4 linked regions of the Schizosaccharomyces pombe genome follow. The gene in region 1 interacts genetically with each later gene. Each region holds a gene or a part of one and is shown on either strand. Other genes may lie near its edges. The genes, in order: gcn20, caf1, meu10 and vac7.

The links.
Region 2: mutations in gcn20 (region 1) and caf1 together harm fitness more than expected from each alone (negative genetic interaction), as found in Schizosaccharomyces pombe (one large-scale study listed by BioGRID).
Region 3: mutations in gcn20 (region 1) and meu10 together harm fitness more than expected from each alone (negative genetic interaction), as found in Schizosaccharomyces pombe (one large-scale study listed by BioGRID).
Region 4: mutations in gcn20 (region 1) and vac7 together harm fitness less than expected from each alone (positive genetic interaction), as found in Schizosaccharomyces pombe (one large-scale study listed by BioGRID).

The regions. Positions count from the first base shown.
Region 1 is NC_003423.3:2,052,470-2,060,857, forward strand, and holds gcn20 (AAA family ATPase Gcn20), read right to left. Parts: upstream 3,974-8,388; 5' UTR 3,956-3,973; coding exon 1,745-3,955; 3' UTR 1,672-1,744; downstream 1-1,671. Other genes in the region: atp14 (F1-ATPase subunit H), read right to left, coding at 4,629-4,652, 4,699-4,889, 4,942-4,977, 5,026-5,071, 5,119-5,133; ort1 (carboxylic acid transporter), read right to left, coding at 5,794-6,687; rps902 (40S ribosomal protein uS4), read left to right, coding at 7,323-7,901.
Region 2 is NC_003421.2:1,962,883-1,970,348, reverse strand, and holds caf1 (CCR4-Not complex CAF1 family ribonuclease subunit 7/8), read left to right. Parts: upstream 1-3,494; 5' UTR 3,495-3,502; coding exon 3,503-4,510; 3' UTR 4,511-4,919; downstream 4,920-7,466. Other genes in the region: DNA-directed RNA polymerase III complex subunit Rpc53, read right to left, coding at 20-1,012; oligosaccharyltransferase complex zeta subunit Ost5, read left to right, coding at 3,004-3,046, 3,103-3,165, 3,316-3,494; ribosome biogenesis protein Rsa4, read left to right, coding at 5,575-5,778, 5,829-6,224, 6,283-6,579, 6,630-7,241. UniProt on the Schizosaccharomyces pombe protein: Acts as the catalytic component of the CCR4-NOT core complex, which in the nucleus seems to be a general transcription factor, and in the cytoplasm the major mRNA deadenylase involved in mRNA turnover.
Region 3 is NC_003421.2:1,864,562-1,873,923, forward strand, and holds meu10 (GPI-anchored protein Meu10), read right to left. Parts: upstream 5,535-9,362; 5' UTR 5,170-5,534; coding exon 3,919-5,169; 3' UTR 3,219-3,918; exon of another isoform or gene 3,161-3,218; 3' UTR 2,355-3,160; downstream 1-2,354. Other genes in the region: serine/threonine protein phosphatase PP2C catalytic subunit Ptc2, read left to right, coding at 1-308; DNA-binding transcription factor, CBF1/Su(H)/LAG-1 family Cbf12, read left to right, coding at 7,189-9,362.
Region 4 is NC_003423.3:3,651,912-3,659,121, reverse strand, and holds vac7 (protein vac7), read right to left. Parts: upstream 3,692-7,210; 5' UTR 3,578-3,691; coding exon 3,418-3,577; intron 3,343-3,417; coding exon 2,747-3,342; 3' UTR 2,325-2,746; downstream 1-2,324. Other genes in the region: DNA polymerase epsilon catalytic subunit B Dpb2, read left to right, coding at 370-1,887, 1,930-2,040, 2,081-2,236; CENP-H-like protein Fta3, read left to right, coding at 3,986-4,648; ubiquitin protease cofactor Nxt3, read right to left, coding at 5,327-6,442, 6,559-6,633, 6,702-6,815. UniProt on the Schizosaccharomyces pombe protein: Component of the PI(3,5)P2 regulatory complex that regulates both the synthesis and turnover of phosphatidylinositol 3,5-bisphosphate (PtdIns(3,5)P2). Directly involved in vacuolar membrane scission.

The sequences.
Region 1 (8,388 bases):
AATTTGCTCTTTCCCCATATTCGCTACTGAGGTGTGCAGCCCTTCCGCGGCGTCATTGGAACTTCCACTGGGCCGGAAAGGCAAGAAGGATAATTACGGTTTTTAACGTTGAATACGCAAATATTTATAACGAAACGGTGGTTGAGAACTCGTAAATTGAATGAAGAAAATTTGATAAAGGTCGATAAATTTATTTAGCGATAATTTAACGATTTTACCGAGTTAACAAATTAAAGATTTTAATTATTTTTTAATATATTTGTATAAGTGAACAAATAGGTTTGCTTCGCCGTCTTTTTCAACTTGTCGGAAACAAACAATTATCTGGAATTTTTTTTTACTCGCACTTAGATTCTCCGCGTTTTATACGCATATACTAACAAGGAAAGGAATTTAGCTAATCGATAGATTCTGGACCTTTCCTTCTTTGAAACACATTTTCCCCCGTTGAATTGGTTTTGTTTACATTCAAATAAGGTAAAAGCACTCTTCCAATTGAAGACTATAGAGCTCTAATTCGATCGTTTTCTTTGAAATTTTTAAAAATTACTATCATATGAGCGATGTATTCTTTAAAAGATTTGTGCATCCAAGTCGCGCAGAAGCATGTGCACGACATCGATGATATTGGCGATTGCCCATTCGAACTCGTAAAACCTATCCTGGAAAAAGCTAGACCAGAACATTTAATAGACTTGGAAGAAAAGTCGCCTCATTTGAAAGTTGACACTCAACCATTGTGGAAAGATCACGTTTTGCGTGATTTTGGATTAGAACTTCAAAAACGAACTATATTGAACAATATTGATGATTGGAGAGGGCTCTACGGAAAACTTAAGAAAAAAAGAAATGCTCATTATAACGTTGCTTCTGCTAAGCTTCGAAGTGCTTACACCAAGCTAGAGCAAAGTAAACAAAACAAGCGAATTGTTCCTTTAGAGCGTGAGCCTAGAGCTGCTCGGCCTCCTAAGCGTCCGCGTCCCATGAGTAATTATTGTCCAAAAAGTTCTCTAATGGCGAGAGCTAAAAGTGATTTTCTCAAAAAGGCTCTGCTACCCGTCATATTGTTTCAGCTACTTCATCCTCTCGGAGCTTTCCCCAATTGCATCCCCTTGGACGTTCTTCTTCTAACGCTACTAATACTTCTACAAAGCGTCCTTTAACCTCTAATACCTATCCGTCCATTCCTCTTCCTCCAAAGTCTTTCACCTCTCAGAATTTTAAATCGTTCAACGCCGTCAAAACTCAACCTTCATCTTCCTCCTCTCCATCAATCTCTCGCCCTACGTCTTTTCCCATGTCCTTTTTTCCAAATCCTTCGAGGTTTTCTAGTCAAGTTCCTAAACGAATTTAATGAGTTAACTTTTTCCTTTCTCTTTCTTTTTTTGTTTACTAGTCTGTATATTCTTTTTTTTTCTGCTATTGATTTCCTTGGTCCGCCTTATTTTCTCCTCTTCTCCCCTTCCTCCTCTTTACTTTTTAATTGATTGGGTTTGTTCTCTTTATTTTTTGGGTGTTGGTTGATGATTTGCATGCTTTCCAGGTTTCTTGTCCATTACCGTGTTATGACTTACTTAGCTATAATTAATTTACTGTTTTAATCTTATTTAACACTTCATGTCTTTTACTGTATAAAATGTAGTTAACTTCGTTTACATATTTTATCCAGATTCATAGATAAAAGAATTTGATTTTATTTATCCTCGCCAGCTATATTATTATTATTTAAGTCTATGCTATTCCATTAAGTTTTTATAGTCATGGTTGGCTGTTGAGATAGACAGAATTTCTTATATTGTGAAATTGTTCCATCAAACTTGGAGACGACATTATGGTCACACTGCCAAATACTGGTACATGTCTTGTCCAAGAAATCAACATCGTGAGAAACAAGAATCACACCACCTTGGAAGCGTTTAACAGCTCTTGTCAAGGCATCCATGGACTCCATATCCAGATGGTTGGTGGGTTCATCTAGAATAAGAATGTGAGGGTTTTGTAGACCTAGGCATGCGAACGCAACACGAGATTTCTGACCACCAGAAAGCGTGATCATTTTTTGCAATGCAAGAGGTCCACTAACACCAAAAGCGCCAAGATGACGACGGTATTCTTCTTCACCTTTGCCAGGAAATGTCTTAGCTAAAAAGCTTAAGGCATTCAAGTTTAAGTCCAAAGTATCGACATGATGTTGTGCAAAGTATGCAATACGAAGTCGGGGGTGCCGACTAACTATACCAGATGTTGGATGAAGTTGTTCGATAAGAAGCTTAAGCATTGTTGATTTACCAGCACCGTTGGGACCAACCACACCGATACGAGAATCCATTTGAACATCAATATCAACATGTTTGAGAATAGGGTGACCTGGAACATACTCAAAATTGACATCAGACATTTGTAAGATAGGAGGAGATATTTTTTCCACAGGTGGAAATTCAAACTCAACTTCTTCCTCAGTTTGAGGCTTTTCAAGGATCGGCAGTTTTTCCAACTTCTTAATACGACTTTGTGCTTCGGATGATTTGGCAGCATTATAACGAAATTTGTCAATGAATGATTGCAAATGTTTGCGGTATTCCATTTGCTTTTCATATTCACGAAGTTGATTTTTGCAACGTTCTTCACGAGTAGCATAGAATTGACTAAAATTACCCTTATAGTAATCCAAGCGCTCAGAGTGTTGATGAATAATATCAGTAGCAACTTCATTCAAGAAAGAACGATCGTGTGAAACGACTAAAACGATATTTTTATAAGTTTGTAAATATTCAGATAAGAAAGCAATTGAGGGAACGTCAAGCATGTTCGAAGGTTCATCCAAAAGTAGTAAATCTGGTTGACAAAACAGAGCACGTGCCAATGACAAACGCATACGCCAACCACCTGAAAAAGTCTTGGTAGCATGGCTTTGCATTTCTTGAGTAAATCCAAGACCAGCTAAAATAGTAGCAGCGCGTGATTCTGCTCTATCAGAGTCCATCTCGGAAAGCTTATTTTGAATATCTAACAACCGTAAATCAAGTTCGTCTCGTTCACGCTCAAGGCGACGGGAAATAGCTTGATCAGCAGTTTGGTCTTTACTAAGTTCTTCCAATTCTTTTTCAATCGTTGATAGACGATTAGTTATCTTTTCCTGGTCCTGAATCAAATACTTGCGCCAAACATCGGCATCCAAAACTGACTGTAGGGCAGGTGTATCATCACCTGTCATTTCTTGCTCAACATGAAGAATGGTAATATGGGTAGGAATCGCAATTTCACGGCGAGAAAGAGCACGTAGAAGAGTAGATTTACCGATACCGTTGCGACCAGTTAAACCGTATCGTCTACCCTGTGCAAGTGTCAACGAAGCACCAGTCAATATACGATGACCAGCAAAAGCAAGATCAATTCCATCAATTTTAATATCTTTCGATTTTCCTTGGTTACTTCCGGATAAATCTAGAGGATTTACAGCCATGTAAAACTCTTCATAAGACTTTTGTTCGGGTTGAACCAACTTTGAAGATTCGTATTCTGCTTTGATAGTACGTTTCTCCCATTTGGCACGAATCTTCCGTTCAGCCTTCTCTAATTTTCTTCTATCTACCCTAGATTCAACCTTACGGCCCTTTACAGCATCTAATTCCATCTTTTCGCCAACCAAACCCATAGTTGACGAAATTTCGGATTGGGAATCCATTCGAATAGTCTCCTTCAAACGAACAAGTCCATTCGTTTGTAATGTATCTAGATGTTCCTCTCTTTCTTTAAATTGTTTCTCTAGTTCGTTTTGTATGAGCTGTACCGCTTCCTCACGAGCGCCAGCATCTAGCAATAAATTACGAATGAGAGAGATCGTATGGTCTGAAGCCTCATCTACATCTTTAATAGCATCATTAGCATATCCAGTGCAGTAGCTGAGGACATGAGGGTCTACTTCAGAGCAATTATTCTGAATGACTTGCTCCATGTTGGATGTGAGGTGGATAGTACTAAGCAAGTTATACTACTGCTATATATGAAGCCTCAATCGGCAAAACGATGAGACTAGGCATGAAAATATACTAAATACCTTATAATAGTGAATTATATATTTTTTTAAGAAAAAAAATTACAATTCCAAGAAAACTACTGTGAACTTTACTGATATTTTTAATGACCCACAGTAGACATCAAATTTTATCAAGCTAATCCTTATTGTTGAATAAAAGCAATTGTATTGAGTTGATATAAATTGAAAAAAAAAATCCAAATGTGAACTCAATAGAAATACTTTGCAAAGAGAAAAACATCTCAACTCAATGAAAGTGGTTTTCTATCAATCAAGGCAACAACTGTTTCGTGCCGTAATCGAAGAGACGACTAAGCATTGAATTCAGCTATGTTCAAAGACATTTAGAAAGCAGAAAAAGGATACGTTAACCTAGAATATAAATCATAGTGAGACGGGAGTTATAGAGATACATCCACGTTCGTGGTCAATCAAAAGAAGGATCAGACAAAGGCATGAAATAGATATAAAATCAAATCTCAACGACGTAGATGAAAATGTAAATTCATAATCGGAAAATAAAAGGCAAAATTTAATCAAAGTTAATTACCAAACATCTTCCAATTGAGCATAGGAAAAGCAGTGAATAAATTTAATGTTCTTTTTCATTCTCATACTGAAGGAAAAGTTAGCTGATGCAATGTAAAGGAAGAGATACATACTGATTCAAGAAAGTCAAATTTGTTGCTTTCTCCAGCAGCCTTAGTGGGAATGGTTTCTCCCTCATACTTGTAAGAGTTTAAAGCAGAAGTAAAGTCAACATCGTATTTTGGAGCAGTAGGAGCGCTAGGCATGGACCATTCCTTTACTTCAGCTGCCGTTTCGGAAGGGACAGCTTTAGGCTTATATGATTCTAAGACACGACGTGTAAGAAATTGGTAAATTAAGAGAATATAATAACATACTTAAAGAAGAAATATATAAACCCTGTACTACATCGACTAAATTGCCATTAGTAATCTCATCAAAATCAAAATGTCATTTCATACCGTAAAGACGAGGGGAGGTGGTCGAATAACTACGACTTAGTGATTTCTATATATTAGCTCCTAAATTCTTAAAAAAAGCAATGTATAACGTACCAAAATTCGAGACATTGTTCTTCCTTCACAATATATGTGGATGGTAGTGGTAACTCACTTAGGTAGCATGTATTGAGTAAGAAAGCCAGCATTGTCCGAAAGTACATTAAACATACTAAATCTAATAGCTAAAGTTTTAAATGCCCAAATAAACAATCGCTGAAATAGAAGGACTATTAGTCTCAAAAATTTCATCCAATTTACACCTCTACCAAAAATCTACAAAACAAAATTCAACTATACAAGAAAAAAAAGCGTAGGTACATACAGATATTGAAAGAGTTGGATTAACCAAAACAGGACGTAAAAAGCAAAACAAAACAAAAAAAAACAGGGAAAAGAGGAAAAGAAAATATACTTTCAGATTGAAACGGTTAACTCGTGAAATGTATAACAAGTTCAGTGGAATTACTGTCAAACTAACAGCAGCACATGATATGAAAAGTGATGAGAGGGGAGTTTTTGAAGGTAAAAATGCTTTTAATAAAAAATAAATAGCATCAAAAAAATTGTAAAAGTATTCCATGGGACTTTAAATATATACGACAAAACCAGTTCTAAAATGTGATTAAACTTCAACCGCAAGTCGAATGCAAGTTAAAATATGTATAGAAATGCATTCCGACGGGTTATCGACTCAATGGACAACAAAGACTTCGTAAAACTAGAATAAAACTATTTGCTTAATACTTTAGTTTCCCGAAATAATTCAAAAAGCGTAAAATTGCAAGAATTTATAAGAGCGCTTCGCATCAATGAAATACCTATACCTCGATATATAGTAAACGATAACCAAGGAATGGAAGACAAAGGGGTTTTAATTGATAAGAGTGTATTTCTTTGTACAATGGATTTGGCTGTATCCACCGGGAATACCAAAATCCAAGACAAAGCGCCGCAAAAAGCACCAGAGAAGGCATAAGCAAAATGCGGCTTCACATCATTCGCTATCAGATTTTTCTTAAAGGTTTCGTATATTGTAAAATAACAAGCCGATCCTAGAGCGTCTCTGGTTAGATGATAACGATACCCATTCCATAATGCAGTAAATCCATACCTCCGAACAATGTCAGAAGCGCTCTGGAAAGATGACAAGGGAGGTCTGACACTTAGCTTGGAATTTGTCTCTTGCCGACGGCCCATATTTGTTTTGCGAAGAAGCATGTCAATTTGTGAATATAACTTTGAATACTCGAATGGACAAGCAAAAAGTGATATAAAAGTACCAGTCCCAAGCCCGGAAATGAAATACCGAAGTGTAGGATCCACATGAGCAAATGTAAGTTTTAAGGAATCATACACCGTAAATGATACTGACCTCGATAGAGTGGCTGATATCAATGGTAGAGTAAGACCACGATACAAACCTTTTAATCCCTCGTTTTTAACAGCGTTTTGGAAACAAGAGCGAATGGTTGGGAAATTGTAAGTTTGCTGTCGAACTTTAATCGAGTCAAGAGGATACCCAATAACATTGCTAATGGCAGAAGAAACCAGAGCAGCGGAAAAGGTAGATGCGGGAGAGCCCGAGTGTGCTTTATGGGGCTGGTTATGAACTGGTAAACCCATTTTTTGATCAATCCTTCAGAAATAAAATAGAGAGAAATGAGAGAAGAAAATAAAGATCAATATTCTAGCAAAAATAGATTTTTCGACTTATCTAAACAAATGAAGTAATCGAAATCCTCTTTCTTTATGTAAGTACGTATATGTACGTCTAAATTGTATGTATAGTCTAAAGTATTCAGAAGTTCACCACCCATGTAAGATGAACTACTAAAAAAAAACTTGTTTTTTATATTTTGAAACTCGAAAAAAAGTAAAATCGTCAATAATTATGATCAATTTCAGAGAAAAACCAAAAAAGAGACAGTAACAGCACAACACTCACAGGATTGTGCAATTAATATCTTCAAATAGAGTTTAATACGCACTCACAAGATACAGTGTATCCCTTACATATGTGATCTTCTATTTTAGAAAAAATAAACAACACCTTCTATTTACAAATCTAACTTCTGCTTTTCCTTCACAAGGATATAAGCTAGAGGGTTAGTAGGAATAGTGTGTAGTAAGGATATCGGTACGGGATGGTGATGGGACAAAACCCTAACCTAATACTACAGTATCTCAAAAAGCCGTCACTGTTGTGCCTTCTTGAAAATACATAGCAAAGGTAGGTTGCGCAAAGCACCAAACAAACAATGCCTTCTGCTCCTCGTAAGCAATCCAAGACTTACAAGGTTCCTCGTCGTCCCTTCGAGTCGGCCCGTCTAGATGCCGAGCTCAAGCTTGCTGGTGAATATGGTTTGAGAAATAAGCATGAAATTTGGCGTGTAGCACTTACCCTTTCTAAAATCCGTCGTGCTGCTCGTGAGCTTTTGACCCTTGACGAGAAGGATCCTAAGCGTCTTTTCGAGGGAAATGCCATCATTCGTCGTCTTGTTCGTTTGGGCATTTTGGATGAGTCCCGTATGAAGCTTGATTATGTGTTGGCTCTCCGTATCGAGGACTTTTTGGAGCGTCGTTTGCAAACTCAAGTCTTTAAGCTTGGTTTGGCTAAGTCCATCCATCATGCACGTGTGTTGATCTTCCAACGTCACATCCGTGTTGGTAAGCAAATTGTCAATGTTCCTTCCTTCGTTGTCCGTTTGGATGCCCAAAAGCATATCGACTTTGCTCTTTCCTCTCCATATGGTGGTGGTCGCCCTGGTCGCTGCAAGAGAAAGCGTCTCCGCTCTCAACAAGAGGGTGGTGAAGGTGAAGAAGCCGAAGAGGAGTAATTCTTTTCTTTGACTAGTAAAAATGAATCCTAATCTCTGAGTAGAAAATGAAATTCCTTTCTTGTGTATTTCACTAGTATATGTAGCTTATAATCTCAATGCATATGGTAACTGTTCTTTGTCGTACATTTTTTTTGAAGTCTACATCTTCGTATTAAATTAGCGCACTAAAGCCTTGTAGCGTTTTATAGATTTTTGAAGAATCCAATGCTTCGTAAAAATTGTGAAGACAGATAAACTGACTTAGGAGACAAAAAAAAAAGAATACGAAGATACTAAAGGTATAGTCGTATTGGATGAAATTGTAGTACTTAATTTTTGCTGCTTAAAGTTTTTGATATTTTTCGTTAATTAATATATAGACAAATAGAGGCAATTTTCTAAAGGCACGTGAATTAGAAATATATCTTGTAGGCCGCTTTCAAAAAAAAAAGGAACCATCAACTGAACAATGTATATTGCCAAAGAAATGTGAATTTTACCTTCT
Region 2 (7,466 bases), on another chromosome or scaffold:
AAAGCTTTCAACTTTTTTTTTAAAAATCAGGACTAACGATCATTCGACGTTCAAAGGAACCAAGGTTCCAAATTCGTTTTGAATCATAATCAACAACGGCTATTTCTTGTAGAAATAAACAATCTGAACCAGATTGAACAACAAAGTTTACGCCTCCCATCTCCAATGTAGTTTTTCCAGATTGATGAACACGCAAAACTCCAATCTGACCAGCAGGTGGGTGAAATGCGGGATAGGGTAAAGATGTTAAGTCGTCAATATTACCATTTTCTCGTCCATGTTTATCAGGATCCTTTTTTTCTTCTACGTCAGTCTTTTCACCTGCCTCTTCCTCCTTGACTTCGGACGATGGCCATACTGGATCGACATCCGCATCACCCATAAACCTAGGAAGCTTGTCAGGGAATTGCATCAGAACCATTTGATCTTTAAAATGATCTTCCATTCCTTCTTGCTCAGTCAGTCCAAGGTGTTGAGCTAAGGATTGCAAATCCAAGGCAACTCTTTCTTGCTCTTCGTCCTCCTTGTTAATAACTGTCGTATGAATAGCGCTTTCAGCATGGTGCTTGAGTTTTTCATCATTCGACTCAGGAAGCATACGATCCGTAATTATGGGGACTAAAAGATCTTTCCCTCCAATATCTGTCTTCCCCTGCTCTTGGCCATTTAATTCTCGAAGTTTAAGAATGTCGACCATGTCCTCATCATGGCCTTCATCATGGCCAGAAGAAGCAGCAAGTTTGGACAGGGCATCATCTTTTTCTTCGTTTTTGACATTAGGAGGTGGCACATACACAGACCCTATGGGGCGGCCAGTACCAGAAGAAGAGGCATTAGGGCCTAATGCAAAAGGTCCTGAGGCAGTAAGCTTTATTTCTGGTTTCGGCCTTGAAGCTTTCCATTTTTTTTGAGATTCGACGTCAAATTCTATCTTAACACGCTCATCCACATCTTTTTCTTCAACAGGCCCATTTTTTCTTCGTGGGACGAACTTCGGAGTAAATTTTCTCATATTTCAGACTCCTGATTAAAGAAAAAAATATATATAGGGCAAAATAATATAAATTTTTTGTTTTGTTATTTAATTAGTTTATTTTTTCAACTTGGTTAAACTAATAATCATTCAAAGGCGATCCAACAATTATAGTAACTTGGATGAAGAAACCTTGTCTTCTGATCAACAATTGCTTGTCTTCACGACGCCAAGGTGAATACAAGAATCACAGATTTATTGAAAAACTTTTAATTTTTGTATTTAACCAAAATACACGAACCCTCGATTGGCCTATTTGGCGTGTAATTGGTATTGGGTAAGATCTGATCTTTCCAGTGCTATATGTATCTAATGATACTGAACACTAATAGTAACTCTTGAGACATACACTTTTCAACAAATATAAATATAAAAATGGTTTGTTTTCATGTCTTTTTAATATTACTAGTTTTTAAATCAACTTTTTCTGAATACTGTTTCATTAAATATGAATATTTTTACGACTAAATATTTGACGCACAATTATTTGAATGATTCATCAGGTAGGAATAACAAGTATGAAAAAGCCAGCTCCAAGCCTTAAAAATTTTTAAACTAAAATAATTTTCTAAAATGAGTACCGCTTTTTCTTAAAACTCTATAAACTTTGGAAGGTTACTCGAACCAAACTTGGATAAACATACGAAAGAAGAGATCCGTAAAAATGCAGGAATCGGAAAAGAACCCTAATTGTGTAGCAATTTTTATTAAATAATTTTTTTAATGTAAGAGCTGCATTGACAACTGCTTACAGTAAGGTTTAAATCAGTATTTGTCAAAGTCTTCGAGTAGCTTAAATTTTAGAAATATAATATTTGTTAATTTTTGAAGGAAATATTGAATTGGTTCAATAATCAAGGCTTTTTAACAGTTCCCTGTTAAATTAAATTAAATGTTGTTATTAAAATGTGGCCGAAAATTAAATTTGATTTAAACAAAAAAAAAATTTACGAGAATTTAGATTCATTTACCTAAAGTGTTAATGATTATATTTATTGCCTTCAAAATCCCTGCGTCGAAATAAATCCGGGCCAAGATGCATTAGGCTCATATTAATACTAACTGACAATAAAATATCAAAGTGTGAAGAAAAAATTTATAAATAGGTAGCGCGAAGGTGAAAAATCATACATTTGAACATCCATCAATATTAAGGAGAAAAGTAAATATAACAAATTTTAAGGGAAATTCTAGTGCTGGTAATTCAATGCAATACTACTACTGGAAAATAGAATAAGGAATTGAACGTCAAATGGCTTCTGTATAAATTTGTTAATGTCATATTTCCATATCTTTCAAGCGGCATTAAGCCATAAGGAAATCCAATTCTAATTGAATACAGTCAGAAAAAAGAACTCAAATACTCCTTTAAGATGTCTATTTAAACTGAAATACCTGCAAACAAGTAATTTAAAAGTTAGGGAAAAAACAAATTTAATTTTTAATAGGATTTTGTTAAAATTTAGTGGTACATGTATCCTCGTTTAAAATTAACCTTATTTAACATACAAAAAACGAATATGTTGCTTATTGAAGAATTCAAAGCTGGGCTTATAAAGTAAAGAATAAATTTTGAATTCCAAATACTGCAAATTTATTATGTTTTTAATAATACACATATTTTGAAAAGAAGATAGATCGTTGCTGAAGGAGCATGTCTTCCTCTTGCGATACTAACACTAACTAAAGACAGCCATGACTCAACAATTCTTTTGAGTTGTTTGAAGGGAAAAGTAAAATCTTTCAGTTATAATGTTGCCAAATAAGAGATCAAATCTTAATAATTTAGATGAGATTGCTTAAGTTTAGGCTCATCAATTCGATTGCTGACATTAAGATACAATTACAGAAAATAGTATTTTTGAAATCTCTCACTGAGGTCTGGACTTAGTACTTACTAAAGATAACATTTCAACACTCTACAAAGTGACTCATACTTTAGCTTTCTTGCTGCTACTCTCCCTTAATAAATGAGCTTGAACGAATTAATCGTTGCAGCTTTAAAATTATTCTGTCGACTTACTAATGGCATAAATTTACTTAAAAAAATATTTTTTAGATACGAGAAGTTTATAATAAAGAACAAAAGTCAGATTGCATATTTTTTTGCCAAGTTCAAATCGTTATCCAAAGTAGCTTGGTAAGCCGACAGAAAGTCTTTGATTTAATAAATATTCCAAACAAACATATGACAGTATTGTTCCATTAAAATAACTTTAGTTTCACTTGTAGGTTAGTTAATACCTAACTTAATAGTTGACCCTTCTATGACTAACTTTTAGTTTCATCATCAATGTTTTCTCTTGTGATTAGAAGAATTCATATAAGGAAATTGTGGTATATTACAGTATTCACAATTAACGCATCTATGTTCAGCGGATTCTTCAACAATCCAAGTCTACTTACACCAAACGAAAACCTACTTTTCCAGGTTGGTTTACATTATAGCTTTGCTGTTTAAAAAACGTAATGACAGCGATGAATTCGAATTTTTCTTATCCTGCATTAGGAGTGGATGGAATCAGCTCCCAAATATCACCAATTCGGGACGTTTGGTCCACGAATTTGCAACAAGAGATGAATCTTATAATGAGTCTAATAGAAAGGTATCCAGTTGTTTCTATGGATACAGAATTTCCAGGAGTAGTTGCTAGACCTCTTGGCGTCTTTAAAAGTAGTGATGACTACCACTATCAAACTTTACGGGCAAACGTAGATTCATTAAAAATCATTCAAATTGGGCTTGCTTTAAGTGACGAGGAAGGAAATGCCCCTGTCGAGGCATGTACATGGCAATTTAATTTTACATTCAATCTACAAGACGATATGTACGCTCCGGAAAGCATAGAGTTACTCACAAAAAGTGGCATTGACTTTAAGAAACATCAAGAGGTTGGCATAGAGCCTGCAGATTTTGCAGAGCTCCTCATTGGTAGTGGATTAGTTTTGCAAGAGGAGGTCACGTGGATAACGTTTCATAGTGGATATGACTTTGCCTATTTATTAAAAGCCATGACACAAATCCCTTTACCCGCTGAATATGAGGAGTTTTATAAAATTCTTTGTATTTATTTTCCGAAAAATTACGACATAAAATACATAATGAAATCTGTGTTGAACAACTCTAAAGGTCTTCAAGACATTGCTGACGATTTACAAATACATCGTATAGGACCCCAACATCAGGCTGGAAGTGATGCCTTGCTAACCGCGAGAATATTTTTCGAAATAAGGTCGAGGTATTTTGATGGTTCCATTGATTCCAGGATGCTCAACCAGCTATACGGTTTAGGCTCAACCGGTAGCGTTTTATGGCACAACAATTCATCTACCCCACAGATTCAATTCAGAGATCTTCCAGGTGCCCATCCTAGTCCTACTCCATCTAATGCTGGGATTCCCACCACTTTAACGAATACTTCTTCGGCACCTAATTTCGCCAATTCAACATTCAGATTTCCTCCTCGTGTAGTTTAGATCACGAGCTAGTTGAAAACATACCGTTAAAAAATTGAAGTCCTTGAAAGTACTTTCGGGATGCTTGTATTTTAACTTAATATATTCTCGTTTTCTCACGTATACCCTTGCTTGAACTTGTTTACTCGATATGCTTTTCTAGATTTTTTCCATAAAATCTATACTTTGGATTTTTATATGTTTTTCTTTTTATTTAAGAGATTGGTTGGAGTTTCCCGCTAATTCAGCATAAAAGTTTTTGTATCCACTCATTTTCGTGAGGAGCATTTTCCTTCTATTTTGTTGCGATGATTTACTTTAAAATTATTCATCTTCATTCCCAGCGAAATGAACTCTCTTGCATCTGGAAGCAAAAAAAGCCTTTCATCGGGTTTTGTATTAATAGATAATATAGTCCATTTCCTTCATATACTGATAATGTATCCGTGTATTTGTAATTCGTAATAGCTTAGCATCCAACCCAGCATCAACGGTGCAAACCGGCGTAGATTTCAAGTCTGATGTTTATCATCGGTCAACTCCAATGCTTCCCCAAAACAGCTCTATGTGCATGTTGTAACAAATCTTCATGCAAGCATCAACTTTAGTTAGTAAAGCTTTTTTTTTTTTGATAGGTGCTTTATCCTGTGATTTAAAATATTACAATCTCAAAACTATTATTTTAGTTTTTAGCTTTTATTTTATCACTAAGGTTCCCAAGCCAATGAACAAAATATCACCTACCTCGTCGTCCCAACCATTTCTTGAGATACTGAAAATTTTCAATAATTCTTCTAGTTAATTTGATCAAGCATAAAAGAATTACCTAAAATTTATTTTATAAAAACTCTAAGATCTTGTTTCTCTTGTTCGACATGCAGAAACTAATTTTTTATAACCTCGCTTAAATCTAGCTTAATTAGCTATAATTGTTTTTCTATTCGCTGAAGATCGTTGTTAAAATTATCGCGATGCATCATTGGCGCGATAAAATTTATCTGATCACAGCTCTTTTAAGAATACTAAGTGTAAGTATTTTTCATTACTACCACTACCAAATCCTTCCTTTTTTAAATCCTTCTAAAATGGCGACTTTACTGCCTCCTAAAAGTAAACGTCAAAAAAAGGAGAGCTTAAATCCTACTACTATAGAAATTCCTGAAAAATTCCCGCTCGTTAACGTTCAGTTTCGGGCGTCAGATGATAGCAATGAACTGGCATCACTTTTAGTTCCTGGAAATAGTTCTGTTAGGCAATTGGAAGCCTTGTTGAACCAATTATTAGAGAATGTAAGAATGAAAGTTTTTTTTCTGTAAATGTGCTAACATAATCCTCACAGTCCGACGATCCTGTTCCGTATAATTTTGCTCTTCATCATGAAGATGAAACTATCGAAATTCAAGATAATTTATACACTTCTGTATTTCACAATGGACTTATGAAAACTGAGGATCACTTAACGTTACTCTACACTCCTCAAGCTGTATTTCGTGTCCGTGCTGTTACTCGTTGTACTGCATCAATGAATGGCCATGATGGTACCATTATATCTGCCCAATTTTCGCCTAGCACAAGCTCGAGGCTAGTTACTGGAAGTGGAGATTTCACGGCAAGGCTCTGGGATTGTGATACGCAAACCCCTATTGCAACCATGAAGGGTCACACTAACTGGGTGTCTTGCGTCGCTTGGGCCCCTGATGCCTCTATCATAGCTACAGGAAGCATGGATAATACGGTGAGTAACTTTTTGATGGATTTATGATTTTTTTGTCGCAAGTCACTAATATTTTTAGATTCGTTTCTGGGATCCCAAAAAGGGGAGCCCTATAGGTGATGCTCTACGACGCCATACGAAACCTATTATGGCACTATGTTGGCAACCTTTGCATCTTGCTCCTGACAGTGGCCCCTATTTACTAGCTTCTGGATCAAAAGACAATACAGTTCGTATTTGGAATGTCAAATTAAGGACGTTGCTTTTTACTCTCTCGGGTCATACCGCGCCAATTACTTGTGTCCGTTGGGGCGGTCAAAACTGGATTTATTCCTCCTCATATGATAAAACCATACGGATTTGGGATGCTAAAGATGTAAGTGAAGGAAATTGTACTTAGGGATTATTTACTTACTAATTTTGAAGGGAAAATGCTTGCATATTCTAAAAGGTCATGCCGCTCGTGTGAACCATCTCTCCTTGTCCACCGAGCATGTCTTGCGTTCGGGTGCATATGATCATACTGATTTTAAACCAAAAAGCTTTTCTGATGAGCGTCGTAAGGCCAAAGAGCGTTATGAGGCTTGTTTAAAACAGTCAGGAGAGAGATTGGTTTCTGCCAGTGATGATTTGCAATTAATATTATGGGATCCACAGAAATCAACGAAGCCCATCACAAAAATGCATGGACATCAAAAGGTAGTAAACCATGCTTCATTTTCTCCTGATGGACGGTGTATTGCTACAGCTAGTTTCGATAGCTCAGTTAGGCTATGGGATGGAAAAACCGGTAAATTCCTTGCAACTTTGCGTGGTCATGTTGCTGCGGTTTATCAATGTGCCTGGTCTACAGATTCACGATTGTTGGTCAGTTCTTCTCAAGATACGACGCTAAAGGTGTGGGATGTACGATCCAAAAAGATGAAGTTTGATTTACCAGGTCATGAAGATCAAGTCTTTGCGGTGGATTGGTCTCCGGATGGACAGCGTGTCGCTTCTGGAGGCGCTGATAAAGCAGTCCGTATATGGTCACACTGATATTTACGCTTTCGGTAGCATAGTTGTTGTTAAAAAATTTAGAACTAATTTCAGGAATTTGGTTTTCTTTTACGGTTTAGGTTAATAAAATGGTTTTGGCTTTTATCCTTAATAACTACTGCATTTATGATTTATTATGACATTAAAATTGATTGACTTTTAGAGGATATTATAATAGACACAAACCTAAAAAAGGTCCAAAAAACGAATTTGTTAAACAAACAT
Region 3 (9,362 bases), on another chromosome or scaffold:
GTATTGCTAGTAACAGCGAGTCCTGCGGTATCGGATGTGACAACATGACTATTTGCATTGTTGCCTTTTTGCATGGTCGTGGTCTTGAGGATTGGTATAATTGGATTACACAGCGCGTCAACTCGGGAGAAGGTCCTTGCGCACCTCCATCTTATGCTGAGTTGCGAGGACCTAACACTATAGCGGATGCAAGAAATCTGCAGTTGGAATATGATCATATAGCTAGCCATGAGTATGGAAGCGGTGATACATACGATAGCGATTCAGATGATGAAACCATTGCCTACGATCGCTATTACCTTCATTAAGTTATTTTCATTGCTTTTTTTTTTAAAGCAATGAAGGGTTTGTTTGTTTGTTTGTTTTCGTATAACATCCTATCTCAGCAAGTTATAACAGGATTTCTCTTCTTTTTTTAATTTTTCATTACTTTCTTTCCTTCCTTCCTTCCTTTTTCCTAAGTTTTTCCAGGCTTTCTGCGATCGTTTTAATAATAGTTTCCTCTTTATTCGGGAAAAATATGCCAATTCATACTACTTTAAAAAACTCCTATCCCTTCCTCTTTCTTTGCAAAACTACTGACACTTTCAACAAAAAAAAATTCTTTACATATTATCGTTAAAGTTAGTATGTCAACAAAAGGTCTGTTTTTCGAATCTGTCTTTTTCGGTTTCTATCTTTATTGTTGGTAGTTTGTATCATTTCTTTGTCAAACAGGCAATATAAAATGTTTCACTGCTTTAGTTTTTGTTCCGTTCAGGAACTAAGCAAAGCCATCCTTTAATCAGTTTTAATGCTGGTGTTCAGCATTATTAACCTTTTACGCAATTTCCACTCAACACCGTTTAGCACTCCGATGTTTGTATTATTATTCCGCTCATCTAGTGTATAATGGAAAACGGTATTCCCACTAACCAACTGAAGCATTCCTTTTCTTAAGGAAAAATATATTGGTGGGTTACAGACCCAAGGACAATATATAAAAAAAAGTATTTATTGTATTTGAGAGGAGACTTTGGAACTAATAGATTTGATATCTTTATGGGTGATGTTAACTAATTTATTTATTATTTAGTATATTTGTGAGCAGTTTAGTTTTTGTACGATGTCAGGAAGCAAGGGGTTTTTTTTTAGCATGGCGTACTTTATAAATCTTCTTTTGAGCTTGATTTAATTTGTCGTCTTATCAAATTAAGCATATATTTCGTTTATCCCGTTTGACAACTGTGATCGCTTGTAGTCATTATCGCTAATTTGGTGCGAATATGTACAGGGTATTTTGTAGACGGATGACCTTGGTTAATGAAGACGTTCGTTTACGTTTTCCCCTTTACTGTCTCTATCTATCGCTTAGCTTGAAAACGTTGTTTAGCAAGTGAATGTACGGATGATGAAAACCTTTAATAACCATTAAAGCTTTCGTGTGGATCCGGAGACATTTTAATGAATACTGCGACAGAGTTTGTTTTGTTTTTGTTGACAAAAAACGGGCGATCCCAATTTTTAACAAGTTCACGGTAGGATAGATGGAGAGGGTAAATAGACGTGTACGGCTAGATATCAACTACGTGATGAAGCTGTAATTCCTGTCTAAAGGATTTAGCAAATCGCTGTTTTTTTTTAGAGAGAGAGTGGCATTCACTGTTGAGAGTGATGAACTTTTTTAAAAAAGGATGGAAAACGAAAAACCCATTGTTTCGTGGTTTTGTTATATTAAACCGTTCCGTTCTAAGCTTTAAAAAACCAATTTTACCAAACTATTAATCATACGTCCGCTGGAAAACGACGCGATCGCTAAATAAATATTTATGTGAAGAGGATTGGTATCAAGGAAAGTTTAATAAATTCCTTACCTATAAAAAAATAATGGATCGTATGCTATGAAGTGTAATTATTTACTTATTGTGAATTCAGTCACACTTTGAGTTCCAATGTTTTGTAGGTGAAAATTTTGATGAAATCTGTTACGAATAAAGTATGTACGACCAAAATTTAATTTTCAAATCAATATTTTCCGTTTAGCAATAAATCCATTTACCTACCTTTTTGTGAGTCTCTTAGACAACAACATGCTTAAACAACCTCTTAACTTGCATTGCTCTATTGGTAATGCTTAATCAAACTGTTATATCCCGTGTGTACCAAAAATTAAATCGAACGCAAAACTAACACTATAATAACATTTAACATTTCTAATCGTAGCTATAATTAAAATCATTGCTCTACAATCATTTTTAAGTTTTAAAACATATTGTCTGAATATACTGGTATTTTTGGTATGTTATTCTAACATTATTTTTCCAAATTATTATTATTATTATTAATTTTTTTTTAAATTATTTTTCCAAAAAACTGTTAATCACTATACAGAATCTATGAAGCTTTTATTTACACCTGTTAAATGGTTTAGATCCATCCTTCATTAATTCATAAATACAGATAATTCGTAGCAAACTCATTTCAAATTATTCATCTCTGCTTTGGGCAATTCACAAGTTTGTTACCCTTAAACAAAGCAAAAGCCAAAAAGCATCATCTTTACGAAGTATCAGAAACTGGAAAGGCAAATTGCATTTTCTTTCATCACAACACTCCTTGTATGTTCACAAAAACTATTGCTTCAATGAAACACATTCTCATTCATAATGAATGATGCTCTCTTATCATTGTTGTTCTATCATTAATTTTTTTATTTTATTTATTTTTTTTTAATCAAGCAGTAAGTTTATCATATTTGCAACTTCAAATGTTTGATCCAAACCGTCCAAAAATTAACAAAAGGACAAATTACGTCAAATCAGTAAGTAGTAGGATCGTTTAGTTATGATCATTGGAAATTGTTTCAGTGATCGGCTCGGTTGCAAGTCGTTTAAACTTGACAACCAAATATGAAACATTTGTGATTGCCAAATTCATCTTTCGTTGAGAAGTCATCCTTTCTCTCTTTCTTTTCCATACTTCATATACACTCTCTACTACTTAACAAGGTTCGACCAACTTTGTTTCAAGAAATTTTGCCTTCCTCCGCATTCGCGTAAAAATTTCATCCACTTTCCTTACCTTCCTTCTATCCGATTGCAATTTTTTACAGGCACGAGTGCCTCGGATGGATAAGGCTTGAAACACCCGAGGCAACACAAAGAAAAATATTTTTTGCATTCTGAATACCACTAATTGTTAGTTGACTAAACAAACGACGAAAGGCATGCTTGACTCACTCATGTAATTTCACATTCCTTGGTTTATATATTAATTCATTTGGATGCCTGTCAGATAAATTGTTCAGCTCTCGTACTTCCGTTTTTATCCCACTTAAATCATATGTTTCATGGCATAAAATTAGTACCATCTACGCGCGGGTTTAACTGTTAGTAAAAAATTGCCTTTTACTCTACAACAAGACAAACAAATGATTCATCTAGAAAAGTAGCGTGCTGTTATCGATAGACAAACATAATAACTGGTAGTTTTGTGATAGTAAGAATAATGATGAATATTTTTGTTTTAAAAATAAGAAGCCAATAGAACCTGGAGTCACTAAAAATACTTTTTTTTTTTCATTCTCCTAACCGTACTAAAAAATAAATAAATAAACCGAGGAAAAGCCAACCATTGGTAAGAAAAAGTGTTCACTATCCATACTCACAACAAAACAACTGAAAACCGGTTTCTCGTCATTTCACTGTGTCCATTAAGGAACAGCAAATAGTAAAGTGATCCAAAATGAAGCAACGAAACTTATCGCCGTTTTTTTTTGTAATCCTTGTTGGTTGAAAATCTTCCTTCTAATTATTTTGAAAGCATTTATTTACTTTTTAAATAGAAACAGGTTAATCATAGACGGCATGGCTTTGAAGGGTAGATTTCGATCTTGCAAATGAACTTGCGTTTACATTGTCAACTTTGTCTCTCTTGGCTTTAAAGCAAGTGCGCAAAGCCACTTACTAAGACAAGGAAAAAGGTAACAAGACGGAAAGGTCGGCTATCTACCTTAGCGGCACCACTTTGTTTGACCGGTGATGTACTGTTCTTAGAGCCTTTAATTGTTCCATTTCCTAACAGTTCATCAAAATCGTCATCATCGAAAGAAGACTCCTTGCTTTGTCTGGGATTGTCAACCGATCCTCGGCAAACAAACGATTTGCCCTTGATGATCCCGTCGCTCTGGCGGAAGGGACAAGTAAAGTCGCTCGATGTAGTTTGTATGTTCAAACCTCCTTTAACATCTCGTAACTTGGGAAGTTCAACGCTGCTAAAGTTACCGGTAAAGTCGATGGATCCTGCTACGGTCTTCAATTTATCATATCCTTTGATTTGTGCCAATGCTGCACTGTTGGCAATCATAAAAGTACCTCCAATGCTCTCAAGTTGCTTGAAATTTAGCGAAGTCAATTCCTGATTGCCTATAAAGAAAAGAGACTGTCCAATTCGTGTAATGTTTGGGCATGATATATCCTGCAACGTGCTGTTGAGGAAGCCTAAAAATCCTTTGACCTCTTCTAAATTCGAAAGTTGTAAGTGAGCTACGCGTTGAATCGTCATGTCACCCACGGTTTTAAGTCTAGGAAGGGTAACACTGATCTCCCTGGCATTGTAAGAGACGTAAAACTTCGACTCCACACTTTCCAAATAGGGCATATCAACTTCTCGCAAATAATTGTTGTTAACAATTACCATCGTATCCGTAGTATTCAAAGAAATACCTGCAAGTGTGGAGAGTTGGGTATCCTCGATGGTGAGCTTATGGGCCTTTTTGATCCCCTTATCGAATCGAATCCCTTGAAGATTTGGCAAGATACGCATCGTTAATTGGCCAACATTTGCCAGTTGAGGTGCGTAAACACTAGCGAGTCGTGTGAGTTTTTCAAACCGTAATTCTCCACCCACACTGGAAATGGATGTCAGGGCTACCGATGCAAGGTAGTTGTTATTACGAATGATGAGATCACCGGTAATGGTCTCTATTCTATTGAAATTCAAAGAAGTAGCTGAGCTAGTGTTCATGATGATAGAGCCATTCACAACCTGACAGTTGCTTAAAACGTCCAAGTCATTCTGTGTCTCAATAATGTACTCGGGGGCACCACAAACCGCTGGGGTTGCACCAGCGATCACTACGCTCCACGCAGTGAAACTGGTAAACAAATAAAAGCGTGAAGACAAGCGCATTTTATGATAAATGAAGAATGAATATAAAGGAGGGAAAAGTTGTTAGGGATAATAAAAGCAATAAAATCTATCAAGTACGACCAAAATTTTTGTCGTAGCAGGAAGGGATTGGAAATGAAATTATGAATACTGAAGAATGAATTCGGGTCTTTGTAGGGTTTGGAAATGATGAACCTTTAATTGTTTATGATTTCCTTGTTGATTAAAGTTTGGACAAGAAAAAGTGCCTTAAACGAATGCTAATATAACAAAAGTTTATGTATATATATGCTGGGTAAGAAAAGAGGACAGAGCGAAGTCTTTCTTCGTAATGGATTATTTATACGATTTTTGTTAAAAGGAATAAAAATGTAGCGGTTATTTCCAGGTAGTTTACTCACTGGCATGCCCTTTTATAGATTTCGAAACCGCCCAACTCATCTTAATATGGTAAAAGTTACTCAGGTTTATACACCCCAATTACTAAAAACATCTTAAGTAATAAGTTGAATGTATGTTAATGGACTATATGCGGTTCACACATTCGTTAATTCATTTATAAATACGGCCTTGAGCCTGCACCACACCTACCATCAACAACAACTTTCAACAATAACAAACACAAATGAACAGCGAAAAATAACGAGAGTAAATACCAAGAAAGTAATCAACGCAACTCTTTAAAATTTTTTTTTTTCATAATGTAAACAAACCTACTTGGTATAATTGTTTACTTATTTATTTACTTTGCAATGTTAGTAAACAATGTCAGCAACGTCATGCGATCGACTTTTTCATTGTTTTTCTCTACACGAGGTAACATTATCCCATTGAGGGGTATAGCGTCCGTTGCGGAGGAAAGTTGATCATAAGTGACCCACGGATTGTCTCTATTTTACAATGCTCAACTTGACTGGTTGAATGTTGAGAGTGTTTACTTCGTTGATTACCAACATTTGCTATGTCAACGTAAAACTGCACAAGTTGAACATAACTGGAAAAACTTACTTTGGATTATTATAACTGACTAATCAATAGGACTCATCCGTTGGATCTAGGATTCGCTGCAAATCCTCATCATACATTATTTTGATTCCCGAAAACTGCTTGCTTTAAATTTTTTAAAATCTTAAACCTTTTTTTTAACCTTTTCATTTAAAACATTTTTATCTCCTTCGCAAGCTCAAAAGTCGAGAATTGGCATCGTTGAGGTGTCAACCGACAACGGACCTAAAAAGGCGCCGACAAGCAAAAAAATTTGTACGTAATTGCTATCAGGAATTTAAGAAGCGGCAAAACTTCATCTGCTTAATATTCAAAGTGAGTCTCGAATGTCACCAACGGAAGCCAAATCTTCGGTCTTGCTAAGAGGCTTACCTATCCTATCGTGCATTTTATTTTTTCAATTTACCATCCTGGGAATACTAAGTGGACGTGCGTGGTTGGTATGAAAACATTCTGCACCATTTGGACATCCAACAGTTAAAATTTTGCGAAGTCACAGTTGTTGGCCGTTCTATTTTCAGTGGTATTCCCGTTAATATCACACTCAATTCGTGCTATAGGCAAAATCGGAAAAACCAAAGTACATGTTGTTTAACGATTTTTCGGTAACGTCGTAAGGCTGTATATCCAAGTAATACCGGATTAACATTTTACTTCTCCGAATTAGGGAATCATGTAAATAATAAAAAGAAAAAAAAGGAAGATTAGGACTGCTACAAAAATTAATGAATTGACTTAAGAAATTTGGTTCCTGACTTTGTACGAAAACACAACACTTTTGTAACAACCTTTACGCTAGCTAAATAGTTTACTTTTTACCCTTGATAGGTCATCCTGTTCGTTGCAATTAATGTTGAGGGAAAGTTAAGTGATCTCAGCTCATCAAATACCAGACATTGCGCGTACATGAACTTTTAAACTTAACGTCCACGGATCTCTTAAATTCAGCTGTAGAGGTGAAAGGCTTGTTTTAAAAGTTTTAAAATTTCCAAACGGATATAATAGATTGCATCCTTTTCACCTTCGTCAAATTCTATGTCCCCAAACGTTCAGAAACGTCCTTCTTCCGAAGATATTAAAACACAGGAGTTTTATGATTCAACTAGGAACATAAGAAGAGTCGCTACAGCAATAGGATCCATCAATGCTAATTTAGAGTCTCCACAATTGTATTCACTCGCCAAATCCACCTCTTTACAGGAACCCGTTCGCATCTATGGAGACTCGGTTTCACCCGCCATCAGTAGCTCCAAGGCCCACTCCACGTCTTCAGTGAGTCCGTATTACTCGGAAAAAAACGAATCTCAAGCGTTGAACGCAGATGGCACAGCATTTGCTAATCCTTCATTTCATTCTTTTGGTCTACCTCAGGAGGACTCACAGGATAACACCCAAACCTATTCCACACCTTATACAACGATGAATCCTTCCAATGAGATGCATCCTTATCCGCCAGCAACTTTTGAAAACAATTACTCTGTCCTTCCTGACCATTCCTCTCAACCCAATGCGTATTCCTTTACCGGCTCAAATATTCTCCCTACTCAGTCCCCATCTTTAAACCAAATGCAAGATTATCAAAATCTACAACAAAATGGTTCCTCTAATACCACTATTCCGTCATTCTCTTCTCAGCATGACCTTTCGCAAGGCCTAACTCATCAACCCGTCCCAAATCATGATGAATATGCATTCTCTTATCCTTATGAGTTACAACGGAAACCTCTGATTCCTGCTCATCCGGTCCCCTCTTTTCGACCTACCTCTGCATTAAAGGTCAACATGAACAGCAATGTTCCATCGTCTGATTCTGTTCGTAATTCTTCTCCAAATCAATATTATGCCTCAACTTCCAAGCAGAGCATCCCCTCTCAATCTCAAAATTTACAACCACCACAAAAAGCTTCTGTACTGGGAACAGTCAATAATTACCGTCAGTATCAAAATTCTTTTATTTCTTTAAACGATTATCAGGCTGCTCAAAGCAACATCTCTTCTCCGTCCTCAAGGTTTCCTACTCCTTATTCTCCGAGTGTTCCATTTGGCACTTACCAGGAGAAGGAAAAAAGTTATTCGCAAGATCATGCAGAACTTTCATACTATCAGCAGTCTCCTTCAATGATGCCTCCTTATGATAGATCATCTGTTTATTTTCAACAACCCCTGTCCAGAACCGATGTGCCAAATCAATCGTTTCAACAATATCCTACTACCGTCGACGGAGGATCCATGATTCCCAATCTTTATCCCACATCGGCAGAGCAGATGGGCTTGTATCCTCAAGACTCCCAAAACAAAGATACTTATCCAAAGTCTTTAGTTAATAGACCTTCATCGGCCGTATGCGAGCCAGCTAGAAATGATTCTATCCCTATGATGGTCTATTCCCAGCCCGTCACCATTGAACAACGGATTCAGTATGTTTTGTCAAATTGCCATTGTTTAAGCGCCTTTTATTTGTGTATGCCATCCCTTTGCCAAAAATCTTATGGAACGGAAAGACGATATCTTTGTCCGCCCATTGTGCTATACCTTTTAGGGACTACATGGCTTAATAATGTTACAGACAATTTGAAAATCTCTGCTCAAACTTTGGAAGACAAAGACAATCCAAAGTTTGCAAAAAACATATTTTACTATAATGCAGATGGTGCTTTAATCAGTCCTGAAACTGATATTGCAAAATCTACCTATCAGCTTACAAATTATAATGAAAACACTAATTTTGACTCATTCCCTGTCTGGGGTAATGCTCTATTAAAAACTATTTATTATACTGGCCAAGGTAAAAATGATGGTTTTGGCCGGTCCACATTTTTACAACTTTCGGTTCAATCAAAAACCAAGTATTTCAAACTTGAAAATTTAAGACTAGGGGTTATTTCTAAACCAAGTCAGAAACGTGCACTGATGAAAGTGTCTGACATGAGCATACGCCATGGTGATTGCGTTTGTTTATTCAACAGATACCGGGCTCAGCATAACAATGCATTATTCCTAGGTACCAGCAATGTTCAAAGAGCGATATCAAAAGTTTCCCTTAACATGAAATACAATTCGAATTATTTCCCTACCACCGACGCCCCTAACGATGCTGAAAACGAAGGTGCCGGCCTGGCTATGGCAAACAATTTATGGGAACCTTTTTATATTTTTTCTGTCGATGAACTTAACAAAGGAAACAATTCCAATCCAAGTGACTCAAGAAG
Region 4 (7,210 bases), 1.6 Mb from region 1:
CGCAATTTAATAGATCGCAAGAAAACCTCACCGCAATTCAGCGTATCGTTAATATGGATATTAAACTGCGTAGCTGACACAGTTTATGATTTTATAGTAGTGCGTTAAAATATTTTAATGAACCAGATTGAGAAGTTAGCATTTAGCATTTTGATATTAGACAAACAGTGAATAAAGGGTACACCATAGCTATCATCTACAGTAGTCCTTTGAAACTTTTTCACTTGAATCCAAAAAATTATTGATTACATCCTATGTTGATTAGAAAACCATATACATTGATCTGTCCTTGATACAGTGAGTGGGCACTAAACGATTCTATAAAATCAAAAAGCGAAGGGTTTGCATTAATATATTTCTTAAAATAGAATGAACAATTCCATTACGGATTCGGTAGAAAAAAAACCTGAACAGGTTAGTTTTGAAGTTCAACCCAATGCCCTTCGTCCGGTTGCTTTCCACGTATTTACCAGGAAGTACGATCTCAATATTAATCGTGACTCACTGCAGGAATTAGCATCTTTCGTATCTAAAAAATGCGGCTCACAATGGCGTTCCCAATGTGAGCCCTTACTAGACGAAATTGCAAAAACTTGGAAACGAGTTCATGAAACTCAACCTATAGTTACTCGACCTCTTTTGATCCCTGTCTTGGCAAATTTAAATGTTCCGCATGAAGTTCGCGTATCTTCCTTAGCAAGAGTTCAAACGCTTGAGACAACCGGTTCATTTTTAAATTCGAGTAATTCGGAAATCCGTGAAACTATAAAAAATGAGAAATACTTTAGAGTCCTTGATGCTTTTAAAATGCCTAAATTTAAGTACGATTCATCAAGAAAGGTTTTCGTTTTATCAAAACAGTCTCCTACTTTAATGGCATCTGCAAGTGCCTGCACAGATATGCTTAACCGCAGATTCAATGTTGTATATAGCCGTATTTTACGCAATGAATCTTTTCAAACACCTTCTTTCAGTGGCTCTTTCTCTCAAACAGGTACATATCAATTAACTCCTATTCGCAATTTATTAGGTCGAGCTGGAAACACATTTTTGTTGTTCGGACTCTTGACTATAGCTCCCGATGGTACCTTATGGCTGGAAGATCTTGACAGTCAAGTTCAACTAGACGTATCACAGGCAGAACAAGGGTTCGGTCTCTTTTGCCCTGGCTGCTTGGTACTTGTTAATGGTCAATTTCTAAGTTCTGGGCTATTTTTAGTTTTTGAGCTTGGTCATCCTCCCATTGAACGCCGTGATGCTTCCTTGAAGGCCCTTAATAATTTAGATATTTTGGGGTTGAATATGGATGCAAAGCAACTTGCTCTTCTCCGTCACGCGGAACAGGCATATCAGTCACAAGCTTTTGTTTGTATCAGCGAGGTTCATCTTGACAACCATCAAACTTTCTATGCATTAGAAAAAATATTCCAAAAATATGAATCCTCTGAAGCTGTGCCGTTTTGTATAATATTATGTGGAAGTTTTATGTCTTCCGCTTTCCATAATTCAGGAAGCTCAATTCAATATAAAGAAGGATTTAATAAGCTTGCAGCTTCTCTTGAGAAGTTTCCAAAAATTTGCGAAAAGACAAAATTCATATTTGTCCCCGGTCCAAACGACCCTTGGACGACAAATGGGATATCCTTAATGCCTAAGCATTCAATACCCCTTCATTTCGTAAATCGGATCCAACGCGTTTGTAAGCATACCATTTTCGCTTCAAACCCTTGCCGCATCATTTTCTTTTCTCAGGAAGTACTAATTTATAGAGACGATATATCAGGAAGATTTCAAAGGAATTCATTAAAGTTTGGGAAGACTCCCCAAGGTACCTCCAATATTAATTCTATACCCCTTGCAGAACAACAAGTGCATCAGCAAAGAAAAGTAAGCAAGTTTCTTATAATTTTTTTATGCTAATTTGTTTAGTTGGTTAAAACAGTTTTAGATCAGTCTCACCTTTCACCGTTTCCATCGAGAACACGACCAATATTGTGGGATTTTGATTATGCTTTATCAGTTTTCCCGCTTCCTAGCTGTGTACGTTATAAATCTTTTTTTTCTTTGCTAATATTTTTAGATGGGTCTAATAGATTCTGAGTCGTCGGCGTTTGATGTTCATTATGGAGGTTGCCCAACTTTTAATCCCGGTGCTCTTTTACTTGGCGTTCACTATAATTGGCAAGAAGTATTTCCAGTAAAAAAAGAAATAATTACACACAAGGAGAGAATTTAGGACTCAAATCTTTTCCTCATGTAACTGTATAATAATTGCTTAAAAAAGGCATTTCATTCATTAACATGTTAACGATTTTTAAGTTTGTTACATTTTACTGAGCCCCGAATAATAGAACGTTTATGTTAATTAAAAGATAAATCCAAGTAAGATTTCTCGTAAATTAGTAAACATTAATCAAATTAAACTATAAAATTAAGATTAAGGGTTAGTAGGAATAATTAAAAAAATATAGAAAACTCCCTACTAGAAAACAACATTTGTAAAATTCAATATCACTGCTGCGTACAACAACTTCCATGGAGGCAATCAATAGGTGCTATTAGCCTTTAAAAGAGTTGACCGAGTACACAGCATCAAAATACAGAACAACAGTTAATTTTTCCAAAAGGAGCACATAAACGATAAGGCATTAACATAATTCAAAAGGGCATAATAACAAAAGGTTAGCAAACGCTTTACAAGGCCTGACTTCATAATCAAAGAGCCGTATAAGTTGTATCTCACTTCTTATAACAACGGTTGGACTGCATAATGAAAATATACCAGAGATAGCACAACAAAACAAGCAAAGAAAAATGAAATCCATAATCTTTTATGGAGCAAGTTTCTAAGCATTTTCGTAGTAACATCACCACTTTCCTGACCAGACCTTCTACTTGTTCGAAAGGGCTCCTGAGAAGTGGAGGATAATTTTTTGTTAAGTAACGGTGACTTTGAGGTTGTAGGATTGATTTGCAAAGGCGATGTTGCCAAACCTCTAGCAGTGGTAGGACTATTACATCTAGTGTCACTACTTCCAACCATGCTGGAAAATTTTGCAGACCGTTTGGGAATCAACTTGCGACTATTACTAAGTGGGCCTCCGTTGAGCGCGTTAGTGCCTGCCGATCCATAATAAGGCACATGATTTATAGTTGGCAGCATTTCTAAGGGAAGGTTGTATGTTTGAAAAGAGTGAATGGATGCTGAAGGAGAATGTAATTCATCATCATTGGTAGGGATTAGGTTTTCGTAAACAAAATTTTCTGATTCTTCATCGTTTGGATCCTGATCAACGGCAGAGGCCACTCTTGCTGCAAACATAGCTGCTTTGGAAGTCATTACTAAAATGCATGTTAATATAATGATTGAAATAGACAAATTGTGTCCTCAAAAGCTAGCAGCTGCTAGATGCATACCATTGGGCAAACTAATTTTTTTCTTCTTTTGAGCATTTTTTTTTGTTTTAAGGGTTTCTAGAGACGCTTTTCTATCGCAACTGCTCGGAATCTGCACTTGAGACACATTCAAGACCGTCTCAGTCTCAACAGACATTTGCATAGGCTTGGGCTCCGACATATCCTCCTGATTAGCAGAATTTACGTATTTTCGAAGTTAGCTTATGAAAATATTTTGATTTTCGATATTTCCATTCCTATGTATATGTATTGGCATTCCACATTGGCAAAGGATAAATAGTGCAACATACATTTGACAAACGTCAAGTTGCCAAGCCCTACCCTAATTAAATTATTAGCTGCTAGTGCTAATAACTCCTTAAAATTTTTGACGTTAGCAAACTACTACGTGAAAACCAGGAGAACTTGTAGAACTCCCGGTTTCCTTTAAATAATCTCTGATTTTGGTTTCTTCATGTAATAGTCTTTTATTAGTACTAAAGCTTTTTATCTCCGTATTCCTCGATTTTTAGGAAAATACTGATTAGTTCAATATTTGAAAATGCTTGTTACTTAACGAACTGACCGTATGGATAATAACGACCAAATATCAAACCTTTGTCTAGGGGCTTTACAACTGCTTGCCGATCAACCTATTTCGGTTATCTCGAATGAACCATCTGAAGAACAGCGGAATGAGCACGTCCTGAAAAAATGGGAAAATAACGTTTTAAGACATTGGAAAATTCTTTTTTCTCTTTTTATGCAAACTTGTGGTGATAGTGTACAAGGAAATGCTGCCTTCTCAATCCTCAATTTCATGACTACTAATAGTTTAGTGGGACAACTATATCAGCGACTATATGATGAGTCTAATTCATTGGGCTTTATAAGTAGCCCTTTGAACGAGACAGAACATTTGTCGGAAGAAAATTTAAAAATCGAAAGCAGTATTACCTTCACTAGTGAAGAAATTGAGAAGGAAAAAGAAAATATTAAATCTGTATTACTTCCTTCAGTGCAATCTATTTCTTCTTCTTTAGAATTGTATGCGTCTAAAGAATCTGATTATAGAAGCTCAATTGAAGGTGTATTAGCTGACTTGAAGTTAGCGCGTGCCCGTTGGGAAATCGTTAGAAACGTGACACAAATACTTTTGCTCGAATCCGGCATTAGTTTCCTAGAGAACAAAAAACTTGCATATATCATGGATCTATGTGGTGATCGTGAAGACAATTATAGTTCCTATTAAAAGTCTTTATTTTGTTTGTGAACGAAAAATTTGGTATGTTTTTATGAATGTTATAAGCCCAGTGATGCTTTTTTGAATTTCTTCAACGGAGCCGTTTGTCTTATTGACATGCGATGTGGGACGATATTTGACATACTGAGGGCCAATCATTCATTTTTCTGACTTCATAATTTTTCTTACTAACCTTTAGAGTAAATGAATTCTTTATTATGAATATTTTTAATAAAAGCTCCTTTTTTACTCTTTGTAAAAATTTTAGAAACTAGAATACATAAAATTTTATTTAAAGGTACTCTAACAACAATAACGGATGTAAAGGAGAAAATTGGCGAAACCGTAAAAATAATAGATTTCTCTACAAAATGAAGTAGGGTTGGGCGTTATCGGTAAACTGAATCAAGCGGACAAACCACCGTTGTTTTTTTAAAAAAGGAAGGCTTATAATAGTCGGAGGTTTTTGGAATGAGACAATATAGAGGCGCTGATGTCAATTGTGAACATCATCAAAGGTATACTAATATATAGTAAATAGATTGTGAACAATCAAAAATTTTGCGAGCTCAGTAATTCTTTCTCCACAGTCGCAAGAAAACTGGCATCTGCTAATGTATAAAAAGTCAAGAGTCAATAGTATATACAAATCAGTTATAATTTAAAAACCGTATGGACAACAGACACTTAATTATTTTGCTTTTTAGAAGTAGTCACTTCTTTTGAACGACCGTCAAAAGCACCACGGTTACCTTTGCGAAAATTCCTTTTCATTCCATTATAATTATCGTTGGACTTCTTATCTCCCGATTTGTTGAATTTACCGGAAAAAAGACGGCGTCGTTCTTCTATGTTCAGCGTGGCATTGTTAATTTGCAAAGTTTTTTTGTTCAAAGCCAATTGCACGCATTCATGGTTGACAAAATCAACATATGCGGTGCCTTTGCGACGAGCAAACTCAATAGCCTTGACTGGTCCAAAAATGCTCATAGCAGATTTCAATGACACATCAGATGTTTCGGGAGGAATGTTCTTGACGAATACAGATGTCTCCAACAGTTCATTACTCTGAGTGTACGGCGCTGTTGGCTGCTGAGTTTGGTCAGCATTAACACCTTTAACTGTTTGACCAGTTGTAGACGCAGTAGAACTAACTGATGCTTGGGATTTCACATCAGGATGATTACGAGCTATGAGATCAGCCCAAGATTTAGGTGCTGTAGCAACATTTGCATCGCTAGCCCCTATAGCATCAGCATTCTTCGAGTTTGAAGTCAGAGCTTCATCTTGAAGCTGATTTTCCTGCTGAGAAACAAAACTTGGGACTGAGGCTTCCGTAACTTGGATAACGGGTTCTTCAGGAACAGCCAAAGTAGCTTGATTTAGACTGTCGGTCTCATTTGATATAAGAGCGGCTGTGGCAAAATTATTTTCTGTAGCAGCTGGATCCTGGTAATGGCCTTCTTCTTTTGCAGAAGGTAAATGTTCTTGAGATTGCACGCCATTTACGTAAGGTTCAGAAGCAACATCTTTTTTCTCTTTTTCAACAGCATCAGGTGACTCCTCTTCTTCCTCAACATCTTCACGCAAAAAACGGAAAATATCGTTTAAAACAAAATAACCATTTGGTTGTTCTGCAAGGAAAAATGTTTGAGCAAATTTTCTGGATAATTTCCCCTTATTAGACATTTCACCCAGGACCTGGATGACAATGCCACCATTCGAAGAAGCCAAACTGTCAACGTTTGAAATAAGTACTTTGCAATTTTGAAAGTCCAAGTCCAATATCTTGTTATGAATTTCCTAACACGTTAATAAAATGACTATTGGGCAAGACAACGATCATAGAGTTTCGAAAATCGCAAGCAGAATATCACAACCTCAAAAACTTTACATATAAGAATTGTGTTAAAGCATACCTGTTGTCCATGACAAAGACTAATACTCTCGCCTTCGTCTCCGTGAATTAAAGTTGACTTTTTAGTATAGAAACACTGTATTACAGTTAGTACGGTTCACAAGTTGAAGAAAAAAAAACTTTTGGTAAATTATGACGACCTACATGAAGACGATTGGGTTCTTTATTTAAATATGTATAATATTCTTGAACGAACATCCATCCTATCTCATCCTTTCCCAAAACTGGTTCTAATAATGTGGCATTTTCCGCAGTCATGTTTTATTTAACTGTGACAATAGCTATACAAAGAACAGAAAATCTGGCTCTAAAAGACCCAAAACAAAATTCGGTCGTGTCTTATGTTTTCCGTGCGTTGGTCTTTTTAATGTCCCATCTCCTTGCTTTCAATGTCCGTGATTACAGCATTTCGTAATTGGATTTAACGAGACTAAACGATATTTCTGTTGATCTTTTACATTCAACTTGTTCGCATAAGTAAGTTAGTTGATGGAAAGAGAGACCTTTTGGTCAGAAAATTGTTTGGTTTTTCATTTCAACAAATAACATAAACATCATATGATTTACCATAGATCAAAGTTGCATATATTTCTTTCTATTATTGTTTTGCAAATTGATTATATTAGAAACGTTAATTCATTGGAAACCACTAA